Linked DNA regions of Anolis sagrei. The protein of the gene in region 3 interacts with the protein of the main gene of each other region in a pairwise test. Links are inferred from orthologs where the notes say so. Each region holds a gene or a part of one and is shown on either strand. Other genes may lie near its edges. The genes, in order: PSMA3, KCTD17, DMC1 and NIF3L1.

Region 1 (6,877 bases), on a different chromosome or scaffold from region 3:
CCCCTTATGAACCATCTAGGACTTTAAGATCGTCTGGGGAGGCCCTGCTCTCAATCCCGCCCTCATCACAAGTATGTTTGGTGGGGACAAGAGACAGGGCCTTCTCTGTGGTGGCCCCTCGGCTATGGAACACCCTCCCTAAGGAGATTAGATCAGCTCCCTCATTCTTAACGTTTCGGAGATAAGTTACGACATGGTTATATGAGCAAGCATTGTCATTCAACAATGGAACTTGGACAACGTTATTTAACTAGGAGACGCCGATGATAATGATGTTGGTTTTGTTGTTTTTATTGCTTCTATTGTGGTTTTATACTGTTTAAATGTTTAATTTGTTGTTATTTGTTGTTATTTGTTATTATTATTATTATATTGAGTATTCGTGCCAAGTTTGGTGCAGATCCATTATTGTTTGAGTCCACAGTGCCCTCTGGATGTAGGTGAACTACAACTCTAAAACTTAAGGTCAATGCCCACGAAACCCTTCCAGCATTTTTTGTTTGCCATGAGAGTTCTGTGTGCCAAGTTTGGTTCAATTCCATCATTGGTGAGGTCCAGAATGCTCTTTGATTGTAGGTGAACTATAAATCCCAGCAACTACAATTCCTAAATGACAAAATCGTAATTTTTGAGTGATGGTCACTCCTTGTGTTGTGAGACGTTTTATTGCCAAATTTGGTGTGATTACCCCACCAGTGGTTGCATTTGGGCATATTCTAGTCCCAATACAATGTATAGCATTGTATTGTTTTGTTTATTGTTTTTCTGTTTTATTGATGTGCTGTTGGGCTTGGCCTCATGTAAGCCGCACCAAGTCCCTTGGGGAGATGGTGGTGGGGTATAAATAATAATAATAATAATAATAATAATAATAATAATAATAATTGAGTATTCGTGCCAAGTTAGGTCCAGATCCATTATTGTTTGAGTTCACAATGCTCTCTGGATGTAGTCGAACTACAATTCCAAAACTCAACGTCAATACCCACCAAACCCTTCCAGCATTTTCTGTTGGCCATGGGAGTTCTGTGTGCCAAGTTTGGTTCAATTCCATCATTGGTGAGGTTCAGAATGCTCTTTGATTGTAGGTGAACTATACATCCCAGCAACTCCAATCCCCAAAAATAACTCCTCTCTCCCAATCGCACCAGAATTCTAATTTGGGCGTAACGAGTATTTGTGCCAAATTTAGTCCAGGGAATGAAAATACATCCTGCATATCAGATATTTACATCACGTTTCATAACAATAGCAAAATGACAGTTTATGGCTCAAACCCAGAACCTCAACCAATGGCTGATACCAAATGAGAGACTCCCCCCTGGGCACACAGAAGACTGGGCGACTTGGAAGGCGCTGAACAGACTGCGCTCTGGCACCACGAGATGCAGAGCCAACCTTCAGAAATGGGGCCAAAAAAAGTGGAATCCTCGACATGCGAGTGTGGAGAAGAGCAAACCACTGACCACCTGCTGCAATGCAACCTGAGCCCTGCCACATGCACAATGAAGGACCTTCTTGCAGCAACACCGGAGGCACTCCAAGTGGCCAGATACTGGTCAAAGGACATTTAACCAACTACCAAACTCACAAGTTTTGTATTTTGTCTGTTTGTTTGCTTTGTTCTGTTACAAATGTAATATAATTGACTGGTTGCTCTGACACGACAAATCAAGTTTATTTATTTATTTATTTGGGGTGCTTCTACCACACCTTTCTCAACCCCCTAGGGGGGACTCAGGGCGGCTTACAAAAGGCACAATTCGATGGCCGACAATTCACAAAATACAATATACAAAATTCCAAGATAATGTCAACAATTATAACTAATTAAAACAATCAAAATAATACAGTCACAGCCAGGCCCATAGCTAGGATTTCGTTTCGGGGGGGGGTGTGATTTTTTTTCAGGGGGTTTTCGGGGGGGCTGAGTAAACTCTGAGGTCGAAGGCCTGGTCCCACATCCAGGTGTTTAACTTCCTTCTGAAGGAGAGGAGTGCATTCCACAGGCGAGGGGCCACCACCGAGAAGGCCCTGTCCCTCATCCCCACCTGTCTCACTTGTGATAAAGGTGGGGCCGAGAGCACCCAGAAGATCTTAAACTCTGAGGTCGAAGGCCTGGTCCCACATCCAGGTGTTTAACTTCCTTCTGAAGGAGAGGAGTGCATTCCACAGGCAAGGGGCCACCACCGAGAAGGCCCTGTCCCTCGTCCCCACCTGTCTCACTTGTGATAAAGGTGGGGCCAAGAGCAGGGCCTCCCCAGAAGATCTTAAACTCTGAGGTCGATGGCCTGGTCCCACATCCAGGTGTTTAACTTCCTTCTGAAGGAGAGGAGTGCATTCCACAGGCGAGGGGCCACCACCGAGAAGGCCCTGTCCCTCGTCCCCACCAGTCTCACTTGTGATAAAGGTGGGGCCGAGAGCAGGGCCTCCCCAGAAGATCTTAAATTCCGAGGTGGGACGTAGCAACTAAAATAGTTTTATGGTTGGGAGTCACCACAACATGAGGAACGGGTCACGGCATTAGGAAGGTTGAGCAACACTGTTATATAGGAAAATAGATGGTGTAATGCTTTAAACATTGGACTATGGATGTGTCTATACCAGTCATAGGCTGTTAGGAATTGTGGGAGTTGAAGTCCAAAACACCTGGAGGGCCCAAGTTGGGCCAGGCTTGGTCTAGAAGCTCCTACTTGATTCCTTCGCTTTCGCTTTCCCTTCAAGTGAGTCAGCGGCCTACAACTGGCTAGGCCTCTCTCTACGAGTCGCGCGGATATGACGTCACCGCACTGTGTGAGGCCGAGACCCTCGAAGTGAGGAGAGATTAACCACCACCGCCTTTGTTTTCCTTTTCGGGGGAGCCCTCTCCCTTCTCCTCTACCTGACTTACCCCGGTGCCGATGGAACTCATGGCGGAAGAGGCCTGAGAGCAAACAGCCGGCCCTCCTGATTCTTCTTTGCCGCCGCCTCACTCACACTGCTCAGTCACTGCTCAGCAACGCGCCCAACCATTGGACAACCGCCTCTGGAGCTTCGACCAATCTCCTCTCGCCGTTAGCAGAAGGGGCGGGGCCAAGAATGCGCCCAGTCACGGCAGCCGCAGTTGGCGCGCGGCAGCAGAGGAAAAGAATGCGCATGCGTAGAAATCCACAATCGATAATCTGCGAATACGCATGCGCGAAGAATTCCACAAGGAAGGTTCTGTGAGGGGTCTTTGTCAGCGCCCGGCTAGCTCAGTCGGTAGAGCATGGGACTCTTAATCCCAGGGTCGTGGGTTCGAGCCCCACGTTGGGCGGGTCAGTTTTTGTTTACATCAAAATCTACAAATAAAACCTATTATTTCTCCTATTATGGTAAACTGAATAGCTGGAATCTTCTTTTAAAAGCTCAATTCACCTCTTTGGGACTTCATCAACAATAACTGTGTCACAGCTGTACAAGAAATTGACTGAAAAAAAAATTCCTTATATTTTTCTTTTATATTTCCATCAGAATCACAATATGCCAAATCTAGTGAGAGCAACAAATGTTGCAACATATATTATATATACTATGAATGTTTCAACTGACCACTTTAATTAGCATTTGATGGTTTGGCAGTGCCTGGGGGAATCTTTTTTTGAGAGGTGATTACATGTGCCTACATAGGGACCACCAAACTGCAGACTACTTCAACCAGAGAAGTCAGCCATAGCAGAGCACCTGATGAACCAGCCTGGACACAGCATATTATTTGAGAACACAGAAATGCTGGACCACACCAACAACCACCATGTCAGACTACACAGAGAAGCCATTGAAATCCACAAGAAGCATGTGGACAATTTCAACAGAAAAGAGGAAACCATGAAAATGAACAAAATCTGGCTACCAATATTTAAAAAACTCTAAAATTACAACAGCACAACAACAGAGAGGAAACAAACAAGGACATCTAATCACCTCTCAAAAAAGTTTGCTCTAGGCACTGTCAGAGAGAGGAGATTCCATCTGAACAGCAGGAAGAGCTTCCTGACTGTGAGAGCCGTTCAGCAGTGGAACTCTCTGCCCCGGAGTGTGGTGGAGGCTCCTTCTTTGGAAGCTTTTAAACAGAGGCTGGATGGCCATCTGTCAGGGGTGATTTGAATGCAATATTCCTGCTTCTTGGCAGAATGGGGTTGGACTGGATGGCCCATGAGGTCTCTTCCAACTCTTTGATGTGCCTGATTGTTTCCCCTCTGTTGTTTTGCTGTTTACAGAGAGTAAACAATCAGGCACATCTAATCACCTCTCAACAAAAGATTCCCCCAGGCACTGCCAAACCATCAAATGCTAATCAAGGTGGTCAGCTGAAACATTCACACCTAGCTCCAGCAGACAAGAGTCCTTTGTCTCACCCTGGTCATCCCACAGATATATAAACCCTTTTTCCTACTTCCAACAGACCTCACTACCTCTGAGGATGCTTGCCATAGATGCAGGCAAAACATCAGGAGAGAATGCCTCTAGACCATAGCCATATAGCCCGAAAAAACCTACAACAACCCTGTAAATTCAATTACTTTTACATTCAGGTGAGAATGTACATATGCAGATGAACAGAAAATTATCTTCAGATCCCTCCAGCTGTACAAGAAATTGACTGAAAAAATATTTCCTTATATTTTTCTTTCTTATTTCCATCAGAATCACAATATTCCAAATCTAGTGAGAACAACAAATGTTGCAACATATATTATATATTATATATATTATAACTGTTGCACTCCAGGTCAGGAAAAAGCCCTCTGACTTTAAAACACACCACACGAAGAGTGAAGAAACAAATATGTTATTCAAGCTTAGTAAATAGCCAGAAGTAATAAATGCTTGTAAGAAAATAAGAATGTTCCAAAAAGTGGTAAGTCCATAAAAGGTAGTAACACAAAGCAATGTCCACACCAGATATAAAAGCAATCCAAGACAGCATTAATCCAGACAGGAATCAACAGGATGCAAAGACAATCCAAAAGGCTAAAAGACTCCAGAGAAACAGGACCCCTTGAACAGGATTTCCATTTATTTATTTATTTATTTTATTTGCTGCATTTGTTGACCGCCGTTCTCAGCCCCTTAGGGCGACTCACGGCGGTGTACAACATATAAAAAACAGTTTACAATAAAGCACGACAAAAAATCAACATATCACTAATACACACTAATATAATTATACTAAGGTAATCCGCTCCGTCTTATCGTAGAATCATAACCAAACTCGTAATCCATATTCCGTTCCAGTTGTCATTACCAGTTGATGTACACTTAATTGAATGCCTTCTCAAATAGCCATGTCTTTAGGCTCTTACGAAAAGACATAAGGGAGGGCGCCTGCCTGATGTCAACAGGGAGGGCGTTCCACAGCCGGGGGGCCACCACCGAGAAGGCCCTCTCTCTCGTCCCCGCCAGACGTGCCTGTGAAGCAGGCGGGATCGAGAGAAGGGCCTCCCCAGACGATCTCAAGGCCCTCGTGGGCTCATAGGCCGAGATGCGGTCTGAAAGGTATTTTGGGCCGGAACCGTTTAGGGCTTTGTAGGATAACACCAGCACCTTAAATTGGGTCCGGTAGCATATCGGCAGCCAGTGGAGCTGGAACAACAAGGGCGTTGTATGCTCCCTGCGTCCCGCTCCTGGCACATGAACTTGATTTCCAAACGATGCCTGATCTAATAGGTTTCCCCTTGAGGCAAACCTTATACCCCAAAACTCAGAAATTGGTTTCGCTTTCTCCCACATTTACCCCTTATCAGGCAAAGTTTTTCAGAGCAACGAAAACACTGAAGTTTGCTGTCGATCCTGGCTAATCACCTGCAGCCTATTCTTCAGCTCCCTTTCTGGCTGCTCATTAAAATTCTCAGGTGTCAGATTGTTTTCCAAACCCAAATCTTGAGAGCTCATAGAGGGAGGGAGGGAATTATCATTGCTAGGCCCATATTCTCATGAGAAACTGCAGTGAAGTGACAGCTTCCCTGGTGGCCAGAAGCTGGAATGTTAAATAGCCTCTGAGTGTCGGCCTATATATGTTGTGTGTCTATGCCATTGTGTTGTGGCTCACTTTGAGCCTGAGCTTTCTGAGCCTGAGTTTCCTCAGGACAAGGAGGAGGATGGGTTACAGATTTCTGTCCCTGTTGTTGAGACAGACAGTGTTGATTCTGAAGAAGAGACGGCATTTCTGTTTCCCAGAGAAGGGTATGTTGTTTTAGATCATGATTTAAGTGAATCTTCACATCTGCCGGTGGAGTCGGCCGCTCCATCTGGGAGCTCAGTGCCTCTTGGTTCCCAGGATAACCAGTCTCAGGATAATGAGTTATCTGGCCTTGAAGGTGATGGAGATTTGATTAGGGAGGACTGTTTGCAATTAAGGATATGTCAAAGTGCTCAGCTTGCCAACAAACGGGAAGTTTGAGGTCAACGTAATGCTTTCATGCTAGGGAAACATATTTAACGATCTGATTGAAGTCAATCCTTTGCCAGTGCAATGTTGCTTAAACCCCGTTAACCTCTCTGGAATTAACTCGGCTTTTGGGGAAAGCTTTTAGCTCTTTGGGACTTAGCTTTTGATCTTGGTTTTTGGGGACCTTGTCATGCTGCCATGGATTCTTGTTTAACCAATGCTAATGGATTATACTTCATGTTATTTGCCTTTGGATATTGGAAACTTTGCCTTTGCATTTAAGACTCTGTTTTGGCTATTCTTCAGCTCCCTTTCTGGCTGCTCATTAAAATTCTCAGGTGTCAGATTGTTTTCCAAACCCAAATCTTGAGAGCTCATAGAGGGAGGGAGGGAATTATCATTGCTAGGCCCATATTCTCATGAGAAACTGCAGTGAAGTGACAGCTTCCCTGGTGGCCAGAAGCTGGA
Region 2 (7,567 bases), about 2.1 Mb from region 3:
CAATCCTCTCTAAAGCATTAGTTAAACCATCAGCCTCCGCAGTCTCTGGCTGATATACAACACTTATCAGTTCAGATTGCTTCTAATCAGAATTACTTAACACTTAGGAAACATATTATTTTAAGAACATTTTAAAATATTATTTCCATCCCTAATGACACAATCTCTTTATAATAATCCTTGGCGGAAAGCGATGATATGGAATGATATTTCACATTTAGAATTACACATTTTTTTACATTCTGAAGTCTTTTGATGTGGCCAAATCATGTCATATAATATGGACACACAACAGCGGTTCTCCAAGATGTTGGATTGCAACTCCCACAATCTCCCATCACTACTTTTGCTCACCAGTATCCCCAATATAGGGCAAACTCTCTGCTATTCAGATGTTTTGGCTTTTACCTCTTGTCATCCCAAACACAATTTGAAGTGTTTGATGTTTTCCTAAATTTTAATTCTTGAGGTGTTTGGATCTTCAACTCTCAGAAGCTTCACCTGCATTGCCCGATGATCGAGGATTCTGGGAGCTAAAGTCCAAAATATCTGGAAGACCAAACACACTGCTGTAATCTACTGTATTAGGAGAGCACCAAGTTCAGGAAAGCTGACCAAGGAAAGTGAAGCGAAGGGATAGCTCCTGGCGAAAATTCAGTGGGAAGGGTTCAAGGAAAGCTTTCAGGTATACCACAAATAATTTACACTTCCTGTAAAGCCTGTTTTATACTCTGGAAAAACACCAAGGTGCCTTTTTAATTTTTGAAACCCCCAATATGTTAAAAGAATTTAGCAATACCAGCTAAGGAAGCCGCTGCTCTACATTTGTACACTTCTGTTCTGCAAGTGACAAAACACATCTGCAAAAGAAAAGTACTGCCTCTGAATCATGTCACAGCATGATTGCAAAATCTGTGAGTGATATAACACCATTTGGAAGGGAGGTTTAATTATGGATGCATCTATTCTACAGATGGATGCATCTGTCATAGATATCTATCTTAAGTAACTAGCCAAATCCTGCTTTTAGCTGACTGCCCTGCATATTATTTTTATAGATATCATGGGACATTCTATGTATATTCTATACTAAGACAAAGCTAAGCAGGTTGTGGCCCTCCAATATTGACTTATGACTTCTGAAACCCTTCACTATTGCTTTAGCTTGCTGGGCATTATAATTCCACATCTAAAAGACCGCATTTATCCAGCCTGTTTTAAATGCTGCGTCACAAGTTATGGACTTGCAGTTGTGTTTGCCACCTAATTCAGTGCTACGCAAGGCTGGTTTCTGAGCCAAGAGCAACAAGTTTACTGGAAACTATGCAAATATGGCAATAAGTGGCACATATATGCTAGAGCTCCTTACTACATTGCTGTCCACCACATCAAACAGCTTGGGAAATTGTGACCTAATGTGCACAAAGCCAGGAGTTACAATCAGTTGTGATCAGCTGTGAACAAGTGCCTGTATTTAAAAACAAGACTGATCACATGTACATTTATTTATTTAATTATTTACAGCATTTTTATCCCACTTTTCTCAGCCCGAAGGCTACTCAGGACGGTGTACAGATTGGCAACAATTAGATGCCACAACAAAGATACATACATATCAATTAAAAACATTTAATATCACATAATAAAAATCCATATAAAACCATCTAAACTATAATCATCAATGTCTTCCAGTTCAACTTCTTATCCATTTACAACGTTTAAGCCTTTCCGTGTTCATTATTTCATTGTACTGTATTTATCTGTTATGCTGTGCTTCCAAAAGCTTATTCGAACAGCCAGGTTTTTACTCATTTCTGAAAGGTCAAGACAGAAAGGGCTGCTCTAATATCCCTGGGAAAGGAGTTCCACAGCTGAGGGGCCACCACTGAGAAGACCCTGTCTCTCGTCCCCGCCAAATGCACCTGCGAGAAAGGCGGGATTAAGAGCAGGGACTCCCCAGATGATCTTAAGTTCCTAGATGGTTCAAAAGGAGAGATATATTCAGACAGGTAAGCTGGGCCGGAACAGGTTAGGGCTTTATAGGCTAAAGCCAGCACTTTGAATTGTGTTCAGTAGCAAACTCATAAAGCTTGTTCTCCAGACCATATGTTTTTCTATGGGTGAGCGGACATCACTTGAACTGCCCTACCTCAGGGCTAAGCATCCTCAATTGTTTGCGGGCCTTTTTGAAGATCATAGAATCATAGAATCACTGAGTTGGCAGAGAACTCGGGGGCCATCGAGTCCAACTTCCTGCCAAGGATCAGGAAAATTGCATTCAAAGCACCTTCGATAGATGGCCATCCAGCCTCTGCTTAAAAGCCTGCAAAGTAGGACCTTCCACCATGGTCCAGGTCAGAGAGTCCCACTGCTGAACAGCTCTCACAGGAAGTTCTTCCTAATGTTCTGGTAGTAGTTTGAAGCTATTGTTCCACATCCTAGTTTCCAGGGCAGCAGAAAACAAGCTTGCTCCCTCCATCCCCTGACTTCCCTTCACATATTTATACATGGTCCTCATCATGTCTCCTCTCAGCCTTCTCTTATGCCCAGCTCTTTAAGCTTCTCCTCATAAGGCTTGTTCTCCAGACCATATGGTTTTCTGTGGGCGAGCAGATGGTGACTACTGGATGACATACGTTATGTATCAGAAACTAGAGCTGATGTGGTTTAGCCAATGCCATTTTCTGAATCAGCACTCAAAATAACCAAACCAAATCTAAAGTTGACCAAAACCTGATTTGTAACCCTTTTGGTGCTAATATTGGAGAGTGGTCCCTGGTCAAAATAAAGGTTGGGAACCACTGTTCCACAATGAACCCTGAGGGGTCTGGGTTTTTGTAGGTTTTTTGGGTTATGTGGTCATGTTCTAAAAGCATTCCATCCTGACATTTTGCCTGCATCTATGGCAGGCATCCTCAGAGGTTGTGAGGCCTATTGGAAACTAGGAAAATTGAGTTTATATATCTGTGGAATGTCCAGGGTGGGAGAAAGAACTCTTGCCTGTTGGAGCTAGGTGTGAATGTTTCAGTTAGTCACCTTAATTAACATTTGGTGGCCTGACAATTTCCAAGGTGTGGCTTGTTACTGCCTGGGGGAATCCTTTGTTGAGTGGTGACTAACTGTCCCTGATTATTTTTTGTCTGGAATTCCCCTGTGTTTGAGTGTTGTTCTTTATTTACTCTTATAATTTTAGAGTTTTTTTTTAAAAAATACTAGTAGCCAGATTTTATGCATTTTCATGGTTTCTTCCTTTCTGTTGAAATTGTCCACATGCTTGTGGATATCAATGGCTTCTTTGTGTAGTCTGACATGATAGTTGTTAGTGTGTTCCAGCACTTCTGTGTTCTCAAATAAAATGCTGTGTCCAGGTTGGTTCATCAGGTGCTCTGCTATGGCTGACTTCTCTGGTTGAATTAGTCTGCAGTGCCTTTCATGTTCCTTGATTCGTGCTTGGGCGCTGTGTTTGGTGGTCCCTATGTAGTATGTAGACTTGTCCACAGCTGCATGGTACATGGTAGACTCCTGCAGAAGTGAGAGGATCCCTCTTGTCCTTTGCTGAATGTAGTATTTGTTGGATTTTCTTGGTGGGTCTGTAGATAGTTTGTAGGTTGTGTTTCCTCATCAGCTTCCCTATGCAGTCAGTGGTTAATTATTATTATTATTATTATTATTATTATTATTATTATTATTATCCCTTGAAGTATGGCAAGAACACTTTTCCTCTGGGTGGATCTTTGTCTTTACTTTCCTAGCTTGTTCTCGCTCTTGCAGCTCTTCTGATGTCTGTGGCGAAGTATCCTTACTTACTTAGGCGATCCCTCGTTGTCCGAGTAGGATGTACTGGCGGTGGACTTGTAGGTGACTGTGGAGCCCTATTCATGTTGGTTCCAGGTGGGAGGTGGTCCCGGTCAGGGTGGGCTTGACATGGCTTCCTCTTGGCACGTTTCTCTCTTTTGCCCTCTATTCCTGCTCTTCAAATTCCATAGCACTGCTGGTCACAGCTGACCTCCAGCTGGAGCACTCAAGGGCCAGGGCTTCCCAGTTTTTAGTATCTATGTCAGAGTTTTTAGGGTTGGCTTTGAGTCAATCTTTAAATCTCTTTTCCTGCCCACCAACATTCTGTTTTCTGTTCTGGAGTTCGGAGTAGAGCATGCTTTGGAGTATCCATTGGCCTGTCAAGTCCAGTTTAGGTGGTTCAGTTGGTCAGGGACCATTGGATAGACCACTTTAGGTGGTTCAGTTGGTCAGGGACCATTGGATAGACCAGTTTAGGTGGTTCAGTTGGTCAGGGACCATTGGATAGACCAGTTTAGGTGGTTCAGTTGGTCAGGGACCATTGGATAGACCAGTTTAGGTGGTTCAGTTGGTGGGGTTCTCTCGGGAGGGCTCTCGTTCATAGCAGATTTCATGCAAGTCGGTTTAAGAGCAGATGCAGTTCACCCGGGTGGCGCTGCTTAGCTTTTTCCTCAATCACAGCAGAGGCATCTGAAGCTCTTGGAAAGCTTCTCAGCTCCTTCTGAAAAAAAAGGAGGGGGGGGGGAGCAAGGAAGACCCTCCCACTGCATTCTCTCAGCCCCTCCTTTCCGTCGTGGGGGAAAGGAACAAAACTACAAGTCCCAGAATCCTCCAGCGCCGGCCTCACTACACCTGCCCGAGGGGAGTCCCGCCTGTTTGTGGCGGCGGCGAGGAGGAGGAGGAGGAGGAGGAGGAGGGACGGAGATGAGGATGGAGCGAGGCGAGGCGGCGCCGGCGGGCCCGAAGGCTGCTGCTGCTGCTGCTCCTCCTGCTCCTGCTGCTCCTTCTTATGGCTGGGAAGGCAGCCCCCCGGGTCCCGGCCCCCGAGGCAAGTGGGTCCGGCTCAACGTCGGCGGCACGGTCTTCTTGACCACCCGGCAGACCCTGTGCCGCGAGCAGAAGTCCTTCCTTTGCCGCCTCTGCCAAGGCGAGGAGCTGCAATCGGATCGGGTGAGCGAACAAAGGGAGGCAGGGAGGGAAGCCAGCAAAGAAGGAAGGAAGGAAGGAAGGAAGGAAGGAAGGGGCGCCTCGGTTAGAGCATGTTCTGAGCGCTCTGTGTTGTCATCCCCGGGCATGCACTTCCATTGGAATCGCTGAAATGCTTTGCCTGTACATGTGCCCTGTTGGTTAGACTCCAAAGGAATCCCAAAGCCTCCATAGGGATCCCCAAGCGCTCATGGCCCGTTTGGATGCACACATATCTCCAGGCAGATCTTGGTGTCTATTTGTAAATACTGTTAGGTGTTTTAGAGTTGTACTCCCAAACTGGAGCCTCCGGTGGCGCCATGGGTTACAATAAACTCTTGAGCCTGCAGGTAGGAGGTTCGAATCCGGGAAGAGCGGGGTGAGCTCCCTCTGTCAGCTCCAGCTTCCCATGGGGGGCATGAGAGAAGCCTAACACAAGGATGGTAAAACATCAAAACATCCGGGCGTCCCCTGGGTAACGTCCTTGCAGACGGCCAATTCTCTCACACCAGAAGCGACTTGCAGTTTCCCAAGTCGCTCCTGACACACACACACAAACAATGTCAGGATCGACTTACAGTTCCTCAAGTCACTCCTGACACACACAAACATAAACAGTGTCAGAACTGACTTACAGTTTCTCAAGTCGGTCCTGACACACACATGTGCACAAAAGTTCCAAATTGTACTCCAATGAAAGAGTCTTCCTTGGAGGTAGAAAATCCCCAAGAGTGAAGTCCCAGTGTTTTCCTTCTTCTTCCCCCTTTATTTTTACGTTGTCATTGTTTGAAGGATTTCTGGCTTATGCCATGCGGGCCTTATTAAACAAGCAAACTTCTTTTCTGATTGGACTAAGGATAGGCCATTGGATAGAAAATGGGGCTCAAAATTCGTTGATTTGGATCTCACCTCAGGAACCCCCGGTGACGCAATGGATTAAACCCTTGTGCCAGCAGGACTGAAAATTGACAGGTTGGAGGTGCGAATCCAGGGAGAGCATGGATGAGCTCCCTCTGTCAGCTCCAGTTCTCCGTGCAGGGACATGAGAGAAGGATGGTAAAACATCAAAACATCCAGGCGTTCCCCTGGGCAATGTCCTTGCAGATGGCCAATTCTCTCACACCAGAAGCGACTTGCACTTTCCCAAGTCGCTCCTGACTTGAGAAAACAATCCTTCCTAGAATCCTAGAGTTGGGAGGGATCCCCAGAGTCATCCATCCCAACTCTGCTCTTCCTAATGTGTAGATGGGATCTCTTTTTCCTTCCATTTGCATCTATAGTCTCTCGGATCCAAAAGGCTTCACAGGGATTCCAAAGAAGGAAAAGTTCAGTTTGACAGGAAAGGAGATTCTACCTGAACATGAGGAAGAACTTCCTGACTGTGATATCTGTTCAGCAGTGGAACTCTCTGCCCCGGAATGTGGTGGGGGCTCCTCCTTCTTTGCAGTCCCAACCTCCTGCCAAGGAGCAGGAAAATTGCATTCAAAGCACCCCCTGTCCATCCAGCCTCTGCTTAAAAGCTTCCAAAGAAGGAGCCTCCACCACACTCCGGGGCAGAGAGTTCCACTGCTGAACAGCTCTTACAGTCAGGAAGTTCTTTCTAATGTTCAGGTAGAATTTCCTTTCCTGTAGTTTGAAGCTATTGTTACGCATCCTTGTCTCCAGGGCAGCAGAAAACAAAGCTGCTCCCTGCTCCCTATGACTTCCCCACACATATTTATACATGGCCATCATGTCTCTTCTCAGCCTTCTCTTCTTCAGGCTAAACATGCCCAGCTCTTTAAGCCACTCCTCATAGAGCTTGTTCTCCAGACCCTTGATCCTATCCGGGGAAAGACATCAAAAAGTGTGCTTTCCTGTAACTTCCAACTAATAGACAAAGAGTGCACCTGCACTGTAAAATGAATGCAGTTTGACATCGCTTTAATTGCCATGGCTCAGTGCTTTGGAGTCCTGAGATTTTTCATTACAGTGTAGATGCACCCCAGGCCTCTCAGACCCCCAGTTGACTTCCCTGTGATGGCAGTTTTCAGTACTCCCACATGAAAAGGAAAACCTCTTTCGTTCAATTCTTTGTTTCTGCAAAGTCACATCCGCACAGCAGTTTTGCTTCCAACCTGTGACCCTGGGGTTTCTCAATTTAGATTCAGGATACACCAGATTTTTTCTCCACTGCACATGCCCCCACCCATTAGGTTTTGGATTTGGGGAGATTTAGGAAAGGGGACAGCCGGCCCAGCAGTGTACATAAGCTGCTTAAAGAGGCAAAGTTCTCTGGGCTGGGATCGGGTCGAAACGCAGAGAGTTGGAATAGAATAAAACTTTGGGTAAGAGCCCAGCTGCAGTCAGTACTAGAGTTAGCAATGAAATCAAGTTAACTGTGAAACCAAGGGATTGGAACTCTTTCCCACCCCACAGGTCTCTGAAGATCTCTCTTCTGGGGGATCTGACCCATGACATGTATTTTGTTGAAAATATTTATCCCTGAGGCACTACTGGCATCACTTTCATTGTGTACACCAGAGTTGGACTGTGGTGAAATGTGGCCCCGGGGAAATACTTTTATTGTTTGGCTCCTGTGCCTTTC
Region 3 (7,321 bases):
AGGATACTTCCTCATCACCATGGAGTGAAACAATTAAACCAATCAGAGACTCTTCTGTATTTCCTGATATGTACATAGATTTTCCTGGGCTTGCTGCCCTCCAGGAGAGCCGCACCCCAACAACTGATTGGCCCTCCTCAGGCCAACCCCCTTCCATCTCCTTCCCTCTACCAGGAATCCCCACCTGGAGGCGGCAACGTCACCAGAGCACCAGCCAATCAGGACACATGTATAAAACCTCGTGTCTCTGTATTGCATGTTATGCCTGTACATTTTTGGCACCAACCTTACTTGCATCCTTCCTGGATAGATCGTAAAATAAACCTTGGTGGCTGTCTTCAGCTGGTGAGTGTGTTCTTTATTCTGGAACACTGGCTGTTAGCATAAATGCTCGCCAGGAACAGACCCTTCATATCCGCAGTCCTAGTCCAAATTCAACCCCATAGTACCACAACAATTCTAATCTACAATGGCTTGCTAAGCATATTAACTATTATACATTCTTAACATCCAAAGGACCACTGATGATAATCTTCATTATGAGCAATAGAACTTTCTTACTATAAGCTTGTTGGCAGCCTCTTTTATCTTCTCCACTTTAGCCTCTGAAAGTCCCTTCACGTTGCATAGTGCTCGTTTTGTTGTCATTTGAATCCCTTTGATTGTACAAATTCCCACTGATTTTAACTTTTTGATATCAGCCACATTCTATGAAAAGAGAAAATATGATTTGAACTCTTGATGTCTGTGGATGTTATTCCTGGAACATTAATCAGTCACAATTTTATTTTTCCTTACATTTAGGTTTTTCTAAAATGGGTTTTTCAGTGCTGATTTAGGATTTTGACCCTGTTCTCCAGAGTCATTGTCATGGTTCAAACTACTATGCCACATTGGCTCTATACAATCTGTAATTTATTAGAACAGTGACACAGAATTATTATTTTTTGTCTGTTGAGATCATGGAGAGACACATTCAGGGTGGAAGGAGAATATGTCAGAGGAAGAAATATTTCAGTGCCTAGGACAAATGCCTGCAGTATGCAGCGGCGTCACCCTTTTCTCACTTTCTGCCACAATATTTTTTTTCTTTCTGGCACCATTCTCTCTGCTCCATATCTTTCTTTCTATCCAGCAGGGTGCCAAAGGAGAAACAGACCACTCTTTCCAGAGGTCTGAAGTTATCAAAGATTTTAAACATTTGACTGTGGATCTTGACTGGCTATCCTTTTACAAGACAGACAGTATTAGTAAAGAAACACTTTAGAATGTACTTACTATTCCATGCTTCTGTAAAAGATCAATATCCTGGAAAAAGGATTCCTGAGGGAATATGAAAAAAAAACAACAACCAGAAGCTTGGTTATTTTGCTATTGAGGTTGAAACAGATGTGGATCTCCACCCCAAGGTTAGACCAAGGATTGAAAGGATTTTGCTGTCTGACAGGTAATCTCTATCTGTTAGGAAGTCCTTCTTATCACCCTCTGGTTGCCTGGACTTACAATATGTATAGCATGAATGGGCAAAGTCAATAAACCACTCTTGGGATGCCAAATATGGGGGAAACATGCATTCTCCAGTGGCTGTCTGATCACTTCCAACCGCAGATACTGAGGTTCCTGGGTTCAGTTCTGATCCGCATTTAGCGAATACTGTGACCACTGTTCTAGCCTCAAACTGATTCCTGGGGTGTTTGTGTAGGTGCTGTACATTGAAACAAGTTTGTTTTAATCCACTACTAAACTTCATTATGCCTTCAGTATAGATAGAAGCATCCTCAATGACAACAAGTGCTGATCAGCTTTGAACCCTTACCTCATCATCTTGGTATCCTGGTTCTTCTTGTACAACTTGATCTTCCATAGATTTCATTGTGAAGGAAGTGGTTCTAAGATGTCAGTATGTACTGCAGAAAGCAATTATATAATGTTAACATATATAAAGATAAAAAGAAATATCAACAAATAGTATATTAACAACAACAAAACTGTATTATATCCTGCCCCATTTCCTCGTGGGGACTTAGGGTGGCTCACAGACATAAAATGGCCAATATTCAATACCCTGTACAGTAATAAATAAGTAATACAATTTAAATAAAATACAATTTAAATAGAAGTGCATTTTGAGACTGGCACTGATCTAAGTACTCTCCGAATCAATGACAAAGAAAGATAGATTAATAGGTCCTTTTTAAATAAAGGGTTAAAATTTAAGAAATGGTTCTTGGCATATTAGCCTTTGAAATTAATCTGGCTCATTTTCAGTTCACCATACTTGTGAATATTTGTAATACATATTTAAAGCAAAACTATTGCTGTAAGAGACATAGTTACTCTTCACACTAATGAGCTTTTGCAACCAGATTTATTTATTTATTATTCAAACTTATATGCCGCCACTCCCCTGGGGCTCGGAGCAGCTTACACGAACAGGCTAAAAACTAACACAATTTAAAAACAATTTAAAACAATTTAAAAACAACTTAAAAACAATATTAAATGTGCATCTTATTACCATATATATATAAGGGAAAGTTGTACATTTCCATTGAACCCCAATATTTCCTTCACTCTGAAGCAGCAATAACTAGTTTATCAGAGAAAAGTGCTAGACTCTCTTCCCTACATCACTAGATAATTTGATACTATAACCTTGCAGATTTTATATGGCATTGTTTCCAAGTGCTTCCCACACAAAAACTAGACAATCAAATTGTTTTGAGAAAACGAGACAGTAAAAATTGTAGATTTCACAATCTCAAAAATAAAGTTACTGTTTCACTTTCAGTATGTTTCATTCTCTTCTAATTATAGCATACTTGAACCTGTAGGATGACACTTGTCACCCAATCACTCAGCTTCAATTCAGTGAGATAACAGCTGAAAAGAAAAGAGTTATTGAATCAAGGAAAAGAAATTCTACTGCTTTCCACGCATCATGTTTCAAAATACCTTTTTGGAAAATATCAAAATATTTTTTCCTGAAGTGATATAACAATAATTATTGCAGTATTGAAAGGTGGGAAATAGTAATGGAAAAAAAGAAAAAGAACATGTCTATCTATTTTTGAAGATGACCTTGTTTCATCATTGTTCTCAGCTCTAAAATGCATAAAGATAGCCAGTTGGATCTGAAATATAAAGAGAATTCCACGCAGAAAATGCAAAATTAAAACCACAGATGTGAGAAACAGATAGGGCGTTGGATATCTGAAGTTGGAGAAGTTGCTGCTCATCTGTTTACGCTCATTTTTAATTTAGTTTTAATTAATTTAGCTACAAGCATAATCTACACATTTACAATGGCATATAGGCCCAGGAATAGAAAATAGGATTGCTGCTGAGGAAGGGAGAAGATGGCCTGCTCCTTACAATCCATGTACCAAATCTTGACGGATTTTACTTCAGCTTTATGAGGCATCATCCTCCATAGTCCAGAAGGGAAGGATAATTTCGGGAGTCTGGAACAGGCCATGCAACACACAAACACACTTTCATGCTACAAGAAGAAATGGATGCGGGATCAGGAGGAATGGTAACACCCACTAAAGATGATTGCCTAACTGATGCATATTAAGGCTACACTCACATAGGCCCAAAACACTGTGTCTTAGCCATAACATCAGTATATACAGATTATAGGGTTGACAATCTATATAAATAAAAATGTAATGTTTGTTTGTGGGATTAACATAACTCAAAAACCACTGGGCCAAGCGATACCAAATTTGGATACAATACACCTATCAGGCCAACGAGTGACCATCACTCATAAAAACACTGAAAAACAGTGAAAGAGATTTTAAAAGCCAAAAATTAAAAGTAATACATTACAACACATGCGCAAAACCACATATATACACATATAAACATACATACATACACACACAAAGCACATATACACAGACTGGCCGCAGCAATGCGTGGCAGGGGATGGCTAGTCTATATAAATAAAAAAGTAATGTTCATTTGTGGTATTAGCATAACTTAAAAACCACTCAATGAATTGACACCAAATTTGGACACAATACACCCATCAGGCCAATGAGAAACCATCACTCATAAAAACACAGAAGAGACTTAAAATGCTAAAAAAAAAAAAAAAAATACAACGCATGCGCAAAACCATATATATACATGGCAAACACACACATATACACATATATATACACACACAAAGCACATATACACAGACTAGGCCACAGCAAATATATAATATGGCTAATATATAATATTTCTGGTGGGTTTGTATCTGTGTGTAAAACCCCTCATGTATACATAATTACAGTTGCAGCAAGTATTTCAGAAAAGCAAATTTCTGAAATACTATGGAGATTAACTGAGGCAAGTTGCACTCTCTCAGCCTCAGAGGAAGGCAATGGTAAACAACTTGCCAAGAAAACCCTGTAATGGGGGCAATTTTCGGGTTCCCATAGACTAGAAAGGACTTGAGGGCACACAACAATAATATATTATGTTTGCTTCATAAGGATGGTAGGAACAAATCCCCAGGGTACACAAAATGTGCTCCATCGGAACAACTCCCACCAGATGACAGTGGAAGTCACCTTTCAAAGGATGAGGAAGTCTTCTGACACGCCTTAGTTATTTCCAGTGTGGGATTAAGTCACCTTTCCCAGATCTTTCTCAACATATATTTGTGATCTGTCTGTCTGTCTGTCTATCTATCTATCTATCTATCTATCTATCTATCTCTTTTTAACTCAGTGACACTGCTATAAAAATAAAATGAAAATATAGCAAAGGAATTTGCTGGGGAAAGAGGGCTTTGATGCTTCAAGCGAGAGGCGGCTCACGAGGCCAGACTAGGCCGAGTTACCTTCTTCTCCCGCTTGACCTGAGAAGAAAGCGAGCCTTTCTCCAAAAAATCTTGACTGAAAGGAATATTTGGACAAAAAATGAATAAGGAGATATTATGTATCGACTGTTTGTGATCTGTATTGGTATGAGCTGCCTTGAATCTTTTTTTGGAGCGAGGGGAGATGAAATGTATTGTGTCAAGCCATCACATTCACTAGGGTTAGGGGCACAGGACGTAAAATTACCAGGGAGAACACTTCTCTACAATTTCTTTACGTCTTCTTGCATGACTCTATAGCAGGCATGGGCAAACTTCAGCCCTCTGACTGTTTTGGACTACAACTCCCATCATTCCTAACAACCTCAGGCCCCTTCCTTTCCCCTCTCAGTCGCTTAAGCTTAAAGGAACAGCCCCTCTCAGCTAAGGAACAGCTAAGGAAACTAAGTATGTGTAATGTATTGTCGAAGGCTTTCATGGCTGGCATCACTGGGTTGTTGTAGGTTTTTCGGGCTATCTGGCCATGTTCTAGAAGCATTCTCTCATGACGTTTCACCTGCATCTATGGCAGGCATCCTCAGAGGTTGTTGAGGATCCAGCAGCTAGCTTTGGTGAATAAACATGTGAAGCAATGAAGACATATGAAATATCCTAAACAGAATGATTCCTAGTTTGTTTGTTTGTTTTTGTTTTTTTGCATAAACAGATTTTCTATGAAAACAAACAAATTCATTATTAACTCTCAGCCCCTTAGTTAGCATATGGAGTTGTGGAAAGACACATTATGGTGAAGCACAAAACTAAGATGCCGCAATTAGATGTGCTTTTCTAATTTCCAATTTCAAAATAAATTTTCAAAATGAAATAAAACAGGTATGTACACGTGCACAAGAATTATCTTTATTAAATATTTACCATGGGAACAAAGGATACAGCGTGATTTATCATCTAATTTACAAAGGAGGGGATTACTTTTCATTCCTTGGAAATGTCAAAAATCCCTTTAAAGGACTAACAAAAGATTCTGTATTTATAAGCTCAATCTTTCCTCTTAAAATAAGAACTAAAGACTAAGGAAAGAAATGACATATTTCCATTAAGTCCATATTTTCATACAGTCTCTCACAGCAAAACTGTTGGATAAAATTTACAAATCCTGATTAACCTGGTTTGATTTACGCTATCGTGCTATTTTATGTGTCTTCATATTGACCTCACAACCTCTGAGGATGCTTGCCATAGATGCAGGCGAAACGTCAGGAGATAATGCTTCTAGAACATGGCCATATAGCCCGAAAAACCTACAACAACTAAGTATGTTTAGTTTGCAGAAGAGAAGGTTGGGGAGTAATATGCTTCTTCCTTTCCTGGAAACTCTTGAGACCAAAGGCCAATGGCTTGTTGCATCAACACTGGCCCACAGCTCACCGCTGTGAATTACGAAGGTAAAATATGGTGTAAATATCCTTTTCTGGTGCTCAAGAAACTGTGAACACGGATCAACAGATTCAAATGACAAGAAAAGAGAATCAGGAGCAGTTGATGAACCAACCTGGCCACAGCATATTATCAGAGAACACAGAACTGCTGGACCACTCTAACAACCACCAGGTACACTACTACTCAGAGAAGCCATTGAAATCCACAAGCATGTGGACAATTTCAACAGAAAGGAAAAAACCATAAAAATGAACAAAGTCTGGCTCCCAGTATTTTAAAAACTCTAAAATCAGGACAGTAAATAAAGAACAACATTCAAAAACGGGAATTCCAGACAGGAAACAATTAGGGCCAGCTAACACATAACAACAAAGAATTTCCCCCCAGGCAGCAACCAGCCAGGCTTTGAAGCTGCAAGGCCATTAAATGCTAATCAAGGTGGACCATTGCAACATTCACACTTGCCTCAAACAGACAAGAGTTCTTTCTCCCACCTGGACATTCCACAGATATATAAACCCCATTTTCCTAGTTTCCAACAGACCTCACAACCTCTGCGGATAGATGTGGGTGAAACGTCAGGAGGGAATGCTTATGGAACATGGCCATACTTGGCCGAAAAACTCACAGGAACCCAGTGCTTCCAGCCATGAAAGTCTTCAACAACACAAATCAAGGGAACCTCTTTGATAGTATTGACAGTTGTGATTGGAAGTGGCTAGTTTTAACTACAGATCGTCTGCATTTTAAATTGTGTTTTTATTTTATTTGATGTATTAATAGTGGGTTTTTTTATACTCATGTACTGCTTGTGTTATATACTACACTTGTAGCACCTTGTAAGCCGCCCCAAGTCCCTTTATTAATAAGGATACCCTACTCCAGAGGATAGTAGACTATCCTTCACTATTGTTATGGGGTTACCATTTCCCATGGTGGTTTAACTGTGGATTCCTGCATGGCAATGGATTGGACTAGCAGACTCTTGTGGTTCCCCACAAATCTATAATTCTGTGGTTCTAGTTCCTATGTGTATCAGTGCAAACACATGCTCCTCTC
Region 4 (7,886 bases), on a different chromosome or scaffold from region 3:
TTTTAAAATTCTAGCATAATAATAATAATAATAATAATAATAATAATAATAATAATACAGTCCTAGACGCTTGGGAAGTGTTCGACTTGTGATTTTGTAAAACGAAATCCAGCATATAGATCTCGTTTGCTGTGACATACTGTGCTTTTGTGTCAATAATAATAATAATAGATAGATAGATAGATAAATACACAAGATTAGTATGCAGCAAACAAGATCACTATGCTGGCTTTTGTCACACGTTGGACACTTCCCAAGTGTCTAGGACTGTGTGACGTATCGGCAAATAATGCATGCAGGTCCGAGTTTTGGCCTTTTGCAGCTGACAAGGCAATTTTGTCAGCGTCAATTGTTTTTAAGTGCAGATCACCACTGTTTTTAAGTGCAATCACCACTGGGACCACCTTTACTGGCATGTGCCAGAGTCTTTGTATATTATTATTATTATTATTATTATTATTATTATTATTGAGCCCCTGGTGGCGTAGAGGGTTAAACCCCCTGTGCCGGCTGGATTGAAGACCGACAGGTCGCAGGTTCGAATCCGGGGAGAAGCAGATGAGCTCCCTCTATCAGCTCCAGCTCCTCATGCGGGGACATGAGAGAAGCCTCCCACAAGGATGATAAAACATCAAAAATCATCCGGGCGTCCCCTGGGCAATGTCCTTGCAGACGGCCAATTCTCTCACACCAGAAGCGACTTGCAGTTTCTCAAGTCGCTCCTGACATGACAAAAATAAATAAATAAATATTATCATTATTATTACAATGTTTATTTATACCCCGCTTTCTCTCTCCACAAGGAGACTCAAAGTGGCTTACCATAAGGAAACATGTGTAGCGTTAACTGTAGTGAAGGATGATGTCAAAACAGCTTGTCATGATGAGGACTGTCAGTCAAAGAGAGGGAATTTTGCCTACCATGGGAGGACACACAAGTCAATCACCTAATCTTCATTATGCTTCAAAGAATGGTGTGAACTTACCTTTTCATATATGCCATTGTTTAAACCATGTAATTGGTTTGCTACTCTCAGCTTCCCCTCCACACATAACTTGACACAACCATCTATAAGTAAGCCACTATTTGCGTGACGTGAGCTTGGTGCTGACATGTCAGCTTTCAGCAACAGAAAACAGTAGCATTGAGAGTAAAATTACAATGTAAATGTTTTTAAAAGACAACAGACATCATTGCCAATTCTTGAAAAATTCAGAAAAGGGATGTCTCACCAAGTCCTTTGGCAAGCCAGTTGTTGACTCCATGGGGCACAGCATCGTAGGCTGTATGGGGAGAATAAATGGCAACTCTGTTTTCCAGGGCTTGGATAATGAGACGCTCTTTCCACGTTTTCCACGTTAGGCGTTTGAGTGGCTGAAAAATGGGTGGGTGGTAAGACAGAATAAGATTGGCTTTCTTCTGGAGGGCCTCCTCCATCACTTCCTCGGTCAAGTCGTTGGTCAAAAAGAGGGTGCTGACGGTATGGGGAGGGCTTGGTTCAACCAGGAGCCCCACATTGTCCCAACTCTCAGCCAGCGACAGCGGAGCAAACCCATTGAGGGAAGAAACCAGGACCTTAAGATCCATGAAGGCTCTCAAAGGCACATCAATCCAGGACCGGACACTCAAGAGGCGCTGCGGAGTTGGCTTCAGGTAGGAGAACTGCATGCAGGTGCCTAAAGAACGCCAAAGGCAACGATACAATTAGAAATACTAGGATAAATAGTACATTCTTAGGGCCCTCCTAGACAGGCCCTATATCCCAGGATCTGATCCCAGGTTTTCTACTTTACACTGGATTATATGAGTCTGCACTACCAGATAATCAGAAATCAGGGATAAACAGAAAACTTGGGATCAAACTATGGGATATAGGGCCTGTCTGGAAGGGCCCTACAAAAAACTGGATATTTCACAAATACATCTATATAAATAAAAATATAATGTTCGTTTGTAGGATTAACATAACTCAACAACCACTGGACGAATTGCTGCCAAATTTGGCTACAAGACACCTACTAACCCATGGAGTGACCATGACTCAAAAAAATGATTTTGTCATTTGGGAGTTGTAGTTGCTGGTATTTGTAGTTCACCTACAATCAAAGAGCATTCTGAACTCCAGCAATAATGGAATTGAACCTCTGTGTAGTCTGACATGGTGGTTGTTGGTGTGGTCCAGCATTTCTGTGTTCTCAAATAATATGCTGTGTCCAGGCTGGTTCATCAGGTGCTTTGAGAACACAGAAATGCTGGACCACACCAACAACCACCATGTCAGACTACACAGAGAAGCCATTGAAATCCACAAGCATGGGGACAATTTCAACAGAAAGGAGGAGACCATGAAAATGAATAAAATATGGCTACCAGTATTAAAAAAACTCTAAAATTACAACAGCAAAACAACAGAGAGGAAACAACCAGGCACAGATTAACACCTCCCAGCAAGAGATTTTCCCAGGCTCAGGCAGGCCTTCAAATGCTAATGAAGGTGATCAGTTGAAACATTCACACCTAGCTCCAGCAGACAAGAGTCCTTTGTCTCACCCTGGTCATTCCACAGATATATAAACCCCTTTTTCCTAGTTCCAACAGACCTCACTACCTCTGAGGATGCTTGCCATAGATGCAGGCGAAACGGCAGGAGAGAATGCCTCTAGACCATGGCCATATAGCCCGAAAAAAACCTACAACAACCCTAATCCTTGACAGATGAGCAGATCTGAAAATGTACTGCCTGATCCCATAGCACTGAGCCAGGGCATAAATGTGTGGTCAAACTGCATTCATTCCTCAGTGTAGATCCATCCCAGCAACTTCCCTTCCCAATTTCCTCCCTCCTTCATTTAAAATCCCTTCCTTCCTGGTATTGGGGGGGGGGGGTTGTCTCTGAATGGCCCTCTCACCTCTCTTCCAGCCTGGGATAGACTGGGAGGGCTTCCAGCTGGAGCACGTTTTGAATGCAAGGCGGCCCTCTTCTGCTGGAGAGAGGAAGGGGGCGTGGCCTAGCGGGTGGCAGCGGGGGCGGGGCCTCACCAGGAAGTAGGAGGACGACAACAAGCAAGAGGAAAGGGGCCTTTTGGCGGGAAGAAGGTAAGTAAGCGCCCCATTGGGCCAGGCGCTTCCTGGGAAGCAGGCCCCGCTGTAGTGCAATGGGTGCCGTTTGGTCCCACTGGAACCGCCTCTTCTCAATGCTATGCAGGCCTGGGAGCTGCAGTTTGGCGTGGCATCCAGTACTCTTGGGTGGAGAAGGCGCAAGACCTTGTAAAACTACAACTCCCATGAGCAGCGAGCCATGGGATCAAAAAGCATTCATTCCACAGAGTAGAGGCGCACCCCTGATCTCTTTGCAGGAGTAAAACCTTTCCATGGTCGTTTTGAGTGAGATTTTGTGTGTATGTGTGTGTGTGTGGAGGGGGGGGGGTTGTGTGTTTTAAAATGTATTTCAGTTGAATTCATTATGTGTTTTGAACCAGTTACTTCATGCCTATCAGCCTCCTCCCAGTAGAAGGAGAAAATGGCATTCATAACCATTTGGAGATCATAACTTTTTAGATCTTTTTAGACCTTTCAGAGTAGAGCCAAAAACCCTTTAGAGGAGACCCTTCTCTTGTGGTATGCAACCAGATATAATAATGCAAGGCAATGGTTTCAGTTGTTAGACTGAATAACCTGTTATCTCTGATCTGTTAGGAAAACAGATTTTTCCAGTGCATAAAAAACAGCAGTGCTTCAGAAGTTTTTTTAGTGTCCAAAAATATTTTTTCTCTCCCATAAAAAACTCGTTTTATTTATTGATTTAAAACATTTATTTTCCGCCCTTCTCACCTCAAAGGGGACTCAGGGCGGAGAACAGCATATATACGGCAAACATTCAATGCTGGGACACATACATAAACATTAAAAACATTTATCAAAATATTAAAATACACCATTTAAAACCGTCCTAGTCATCCGCATCAAATCATTGGCCTGGTCATCTTTCCTATTGCCGCTTTATTGCCCTGTCCCGAAAGCTTGGTCCCAGAGTCAAGTTTTTACCATCCTTCTAAAGGACAGGAGAGAGGGGGCCGACCTGATCTCACCAGGAAGGGAGTTCCATAGCCGGGGAACAATCACCGAGAAGGCCCTGTCTCTCGTCTCCACCAATCGTGCCTGTGACAATGGCGGGACGGAAAGCAGGGACTCCCCAGAGGATCTTAATCTCCGTGATGGTTCATAGGGGGAGATGCGTTCGGACAGGTAATTTGGGCCGGGTAATTTGGGCATAACATGGGAGTTGTATGCTCCCTGTATGCCGCCTCAGTTATTAACCTGGCTGCCTCTCATTGGACTATTTGAAGTTTCCGAGCAGTCTTCAAAGGCAACCCCATGTAGAGTGCGTTGCAGTAGTCTATCCTAGATGTAACGAGAGCGTGGACCACTGTGGCCAAGTCTGACTTCCCAAGGTACAGGTGCAGCTGGCGCACAAGTTTTAATTGTGTGAACACTCCCCTGGCCACCGCTGCAACCTGGGATTCCAGGCTCAGTGATTAATATCATGCACTCTAGACAAAAATGAAGTAGAGTTAGTTAAAAATAACATACTTGGTTTATTCACAACTTCATGTATTCAGAATACACATGTACATAACTATCAATGCATGAAAAGCACAATCAAAGTACCCCTGACAGTTCAAATACTCCTATTTGAACTTTTTTTAGCATAGTGGATCTAGACTTTATGTATAAGGTGTATATACTTAGGTCCTGTCTCCAAGATATCTCATTATCTACTTCTGTACATGCAGATATTCTGAAATCCAAAACTCTTCTGGTCCCAATCATTTTGGATAAGAACTCTTTAACCTTGCAAATAGTACATGCCTCTGCCCTTTTAAAATAATGCCAATTCTTCCGGGTTTTTAAAAACCATGCTAATGTTAAATTCAGTTTTAATTGACTTGTTGCAGGAAAAACAGAGCTTTTGGCACCTTAGAAACTGACAGATGCATTATAGCTTTAACATTTTGGATTGCTTTTCATGTCATAATAAATATGCTAATCTTTCTCAACTGTGGGATTCAGTCTGGTCACTCTGCTAAAAACAAAAATAGTACAATCATTCTCATCCAAGTGGTTCCTCCATGCCTTTACTACTAGAGCAATATTGCTTTTAGCATGCAAAGCCACATTTCCACTCATTATAGCTATTTTTTCTGGTTTTTTTGCAGAAACTCTTCAGGTGGCTCTGATTTGAATTCCTTGTCTGCACAGATGGTGAGGCTGGTTGTTTCAATATCTTCTTCCTAACTGCGTGCAAGGTATTCCTTGAGAAACAGGTAGCTGTCTATTTAGAAACACACTATTTTAGAGTATACAGGCAGTCCTCAAGTTACAAACAAGATTCTGTAGGTTTGTTGTTGTTGTTGTTCATTCGTTCAGTCATCTCCGACTCTTCGTGACCTCATGGACCAGCCCACGCCAGAGCTCCCTGTCGGCCGTCACCACCCCCAGCTCCTTCAAGGTCAGTCCAGTCACTTCAAGGATGCCATCAATCCATCTTGCCCTTGGTCGGCCCCTCTTCCTTTTGCCTTCCACTTTCCCCAGCATAATTGTCCTCTCTAGGCTTTCCTGTCTCCTCATGATGTGGCCAAAGTACTTCAACTTTGTCTCTAGTATCCTTCCCTCCAATGAGCAGTCAGGCTTTATTTCCTGGAGGATGGACTGGTTGGATCTTCTCGCAGTCCAAGGCACTCTCAGCACTTTCCTCCAGCACCACAGCTCAAAAGCATCGATCTTCCTTCGCTCAGCCTTCCCTAAGGTCCAGCTCTCACATCCATAGGTTACTACAGGGAAGACCATGGCTTTGACTAGGCGGATCTTTGTTGCCAGTCTGATGTCTCTACTCTTTACTATTTTATCGAGACTGGACATTGCTCTCCTCCCAAGAAGTAAGCGTCTTCTGATTTCCTGGCTACAGTCTGCATCTGCAGTAATCTTTGCACCTAGAAATACAAAGTCTGTCACTTTGTAGGTTTGTTATGAAGTTGAATTTGTATGTTTAATTAGAACAGAAACATTTTTAAGCGTATCTCCATCTACCCCTCCCCCCATATATAAGCTTTGGACAGCATAGGGAAAGGTTAAAACCCCTGTGGCATTTGTTTTGCTGTCTGTGCCCCTATTCAGATTTTGGAAAAAATGTTTTTTTGCGGAAACAGGATTGGTAATAAAACTTCTGTTGAGACACCTTTTTCCCATGATGATGTTGTCAAGCCATGGCACACCCCCTCCAAAAGGTTATGAACAATAAAAAGACCCCAAGCAAGAAATATGATTTTTTCTTTAATTTTAAAACATTTCCCACCCATTCAGAGATTTGCGATATTGAAGCCGCAGAGGATCTAGCTAGAACTGTGTCCCAAACTCTATCAAAGCTTAACCCCTTAATGCAGGGGTCCTCAAACTAAGGCCCGGGGGCCGGATGCGGCCCTCCAAGGTCATTTACCTGGCCCTCGCTCAGGGTCAACCTAAGTTTGAAAAGACTTGAAAGCACACAACAACAACAAATATAACAATCCTATTTCATCAGCCAAAAGCAGACCCACACTTCCCATTGAAATACTAATAACTTTATATTTGTTAAAATTGTCCTTCATTTTAATTATTATATTCTTTTAAAGTGTCTTTTGCACTACAAATAAGATATGTGCAGTGTGCATAGGAATTCATTCATGTTTTTTTCAAATTATAATCCAGCCCTCCAACAGTTTGGGGGACTGTGACCTGGCCCTCTGTTTAAAAAGTTTGAGGACCCCTGCCTTAATGAATGTATAAAAATGCTACTCTCTGTGTAACTTGTATTGCTTATGTACTGTATCAATATCTAAATGTATAAACTTGTATCAAATGTAGCCTGAAGGTATCTGCTGCCCCAATGCCCCCTGTTTGCATAAGCTCCTGGGAACGGAAATTGCTATATAAAACAAGGATCTCCCAAGCCAGATAAAATCCTTTGTGTATGTATGTGAGACAGATGATCTGATCCTTTTGCTACAAAGATATGCTTAGGATGTTTTCCTGTTCAAATGAGGATGGAGGCTGCCATTCTCATGGAAGTGAAAGCTAAACAAATATGAATACATTAATCTTCTGAATAGGCAGCCCAGCCTCTTGTTATTTGGGATTATCATCTTTTGTCCTGTGGGTCTTGCACCTTTGTCTCTCTGGAACTGGACACTTAAGTCAATCAAGATCAAAGAATCATCTGAATACTTATGTCATCCCTTCCCTCAGTTTTGTGCCCTTCCAGCGGGTGTCTCTGCAACAAACTGGACCTTTAAAGTGACCAAACATCAGTTGTTGTTCTTCTTGCTGCCATGGGGATCTCCTCCTCCTGTCAGTGACATCAGGGAAACCCCTGGCCAATCCCTGTGTCAAATCATCCGGGCGTCCCCTGAGCAACGTCCTTGCAGACGGCCAATTCTCTCACACCAGAAGTGACTTGCAGTTTCTCAGGTTGCTCCTGACACGACAAAAAAAAATCCCTGTGTGGATCCTATTCGGCAAGGTTTCTCAGCCAGTCAGGGGGAGGCATAGGAGCTCCCGGGAGTGCAGTGGGTTAAACCCCTGTGCCAGCAGGACTGAAGACCGACAGGTCGCAGGTTCGAATCCGGGGAGAGTGCGGATGAGCTCTCTCTGTCAGCTCCAGCTCCTCATGTGGGGACATGAGAGAAGCCTCCCACAAGGATGATAAAACATCAAAACATCCGGGCGTCCCCTGGGCAACGTCCTTGCAGACGGCCAATTCTCTCACACCAGAAGCGACTTGCAGTTTCTCATGTCGCTCCTGACACGACCAAAAAAAAAGGGGGGGGGGGAGGCATGTAAAGTCTGAATA

Evidence for each region.
Region 1: the proteins of DMC1 (region 3) and PSMA3 interact in binary tests that used the Homo sapiens proteins (3 or more experiments, as listed by UniProt). The two-hybrid records come from large-scale screens. The link is inferred for Anolis sagrei from reciprocal best matches to the Homo sapiens genes DMC1 and PSMA3.
Region 2: the proteins of DMC1 (region 3) and KCTD17 interact in binary tests that used the Homo sapiens proteins (3 or more experiments, as listed by UniProt). The two-hybrid records come from large-scale screens. The link is inferred for Anolis sagrei from reciprocal best matches to the Homo sapiens genes DMC1 and KCTD17.
Region 4: the proteins of DMC1 (region 3) and NIF3L1 interact in binary tests that used the Homo sapiens proteins (3 or more experiments, as listed by UniProt). The two-hybrid records come from large-scale screens. The link is inferred for Anolis sagrei from reciprocal best matches to the Homo sapiens genes DMC1 and NIF3L1.

Annotation. Positions count from the first base shown.
Region 1 is NC_090021.1:334,685,883-334,692,759, forward strand, and holds the start of PSMA3 (proteasome subunit alpha type-3), read right to left. Parts: upstream 3,020-6,877; 5' UTR 2,912-3,019; coding exon 2,891-2,911; intron 1-2,890. UniProt on the Homo sapiens protein: Component of the 20S core proteasome complex involved in the proteolytic degradation of most intracellular proteins. This complex plays numerous essential roles within the cell by associating with different regulatory particles.
Region 2 is NC_090025.1:166,112,678-166,120,244, reverse strand, and holds the start of KCTD17 (BTB/POZ domain-containing protein KCTD17), read left to right. Parts: upstream 1-4,563; 5' UTR 4,564-4,719; coding exon 4,720-4,965; intron 4,966-7,567. UniProt on the Homo sapiens protein: Substrate-adapter for CUL3-RING ubiquitin ligase complexes which mediates the ubiquitination and subsequent proteasomal degradation of TCHP, a protein involved in ciliogenesis down-regulation.
Region 3 is NC_090025.1:163,973,135-163,980,455, reverse strand, and holds the start of DMC1 (meiotic recombination protein DMC1/LIM15 homolog), read right to left. Parts: upstream 3,005-7,321; 5' UTR 1,874-3,004; coding exon 1,817-1,873; intron 1,324-1,816; coding exon 1,279-1,323; intron 709-1,278; coding exon 562-708; intron 1-561. UniProt on the Homo sapiens protein: Participates in meiotic recombination, specifically in homologous strand assimilation, which is required for the resolution of meiotic double-strand breaks.
Region 4 is NC_090021.1:176,902,485-176,910,370, reverse strand, and holds the start of NIF3L1 (NIF3-like protein 1), read right to left. Parts: upstream 3,017-7,886; 5' UTR 2,911-3,016; intron 1,678-2,910; 5' UTR 1,670-1,677; coding exon 1,234-1,669; intron 1-1,233. Other genes in the region: PPIL3 (peptidyl-prolyl cis-trans isomerase-like 3), read left to right, coding at 5,261-5,263. UniProt on the Homo sapiens protein: May function as a transcriptional corepressor through its interaction with COPS2, negatively regulating the expression of genes involved in neuronal differentiation.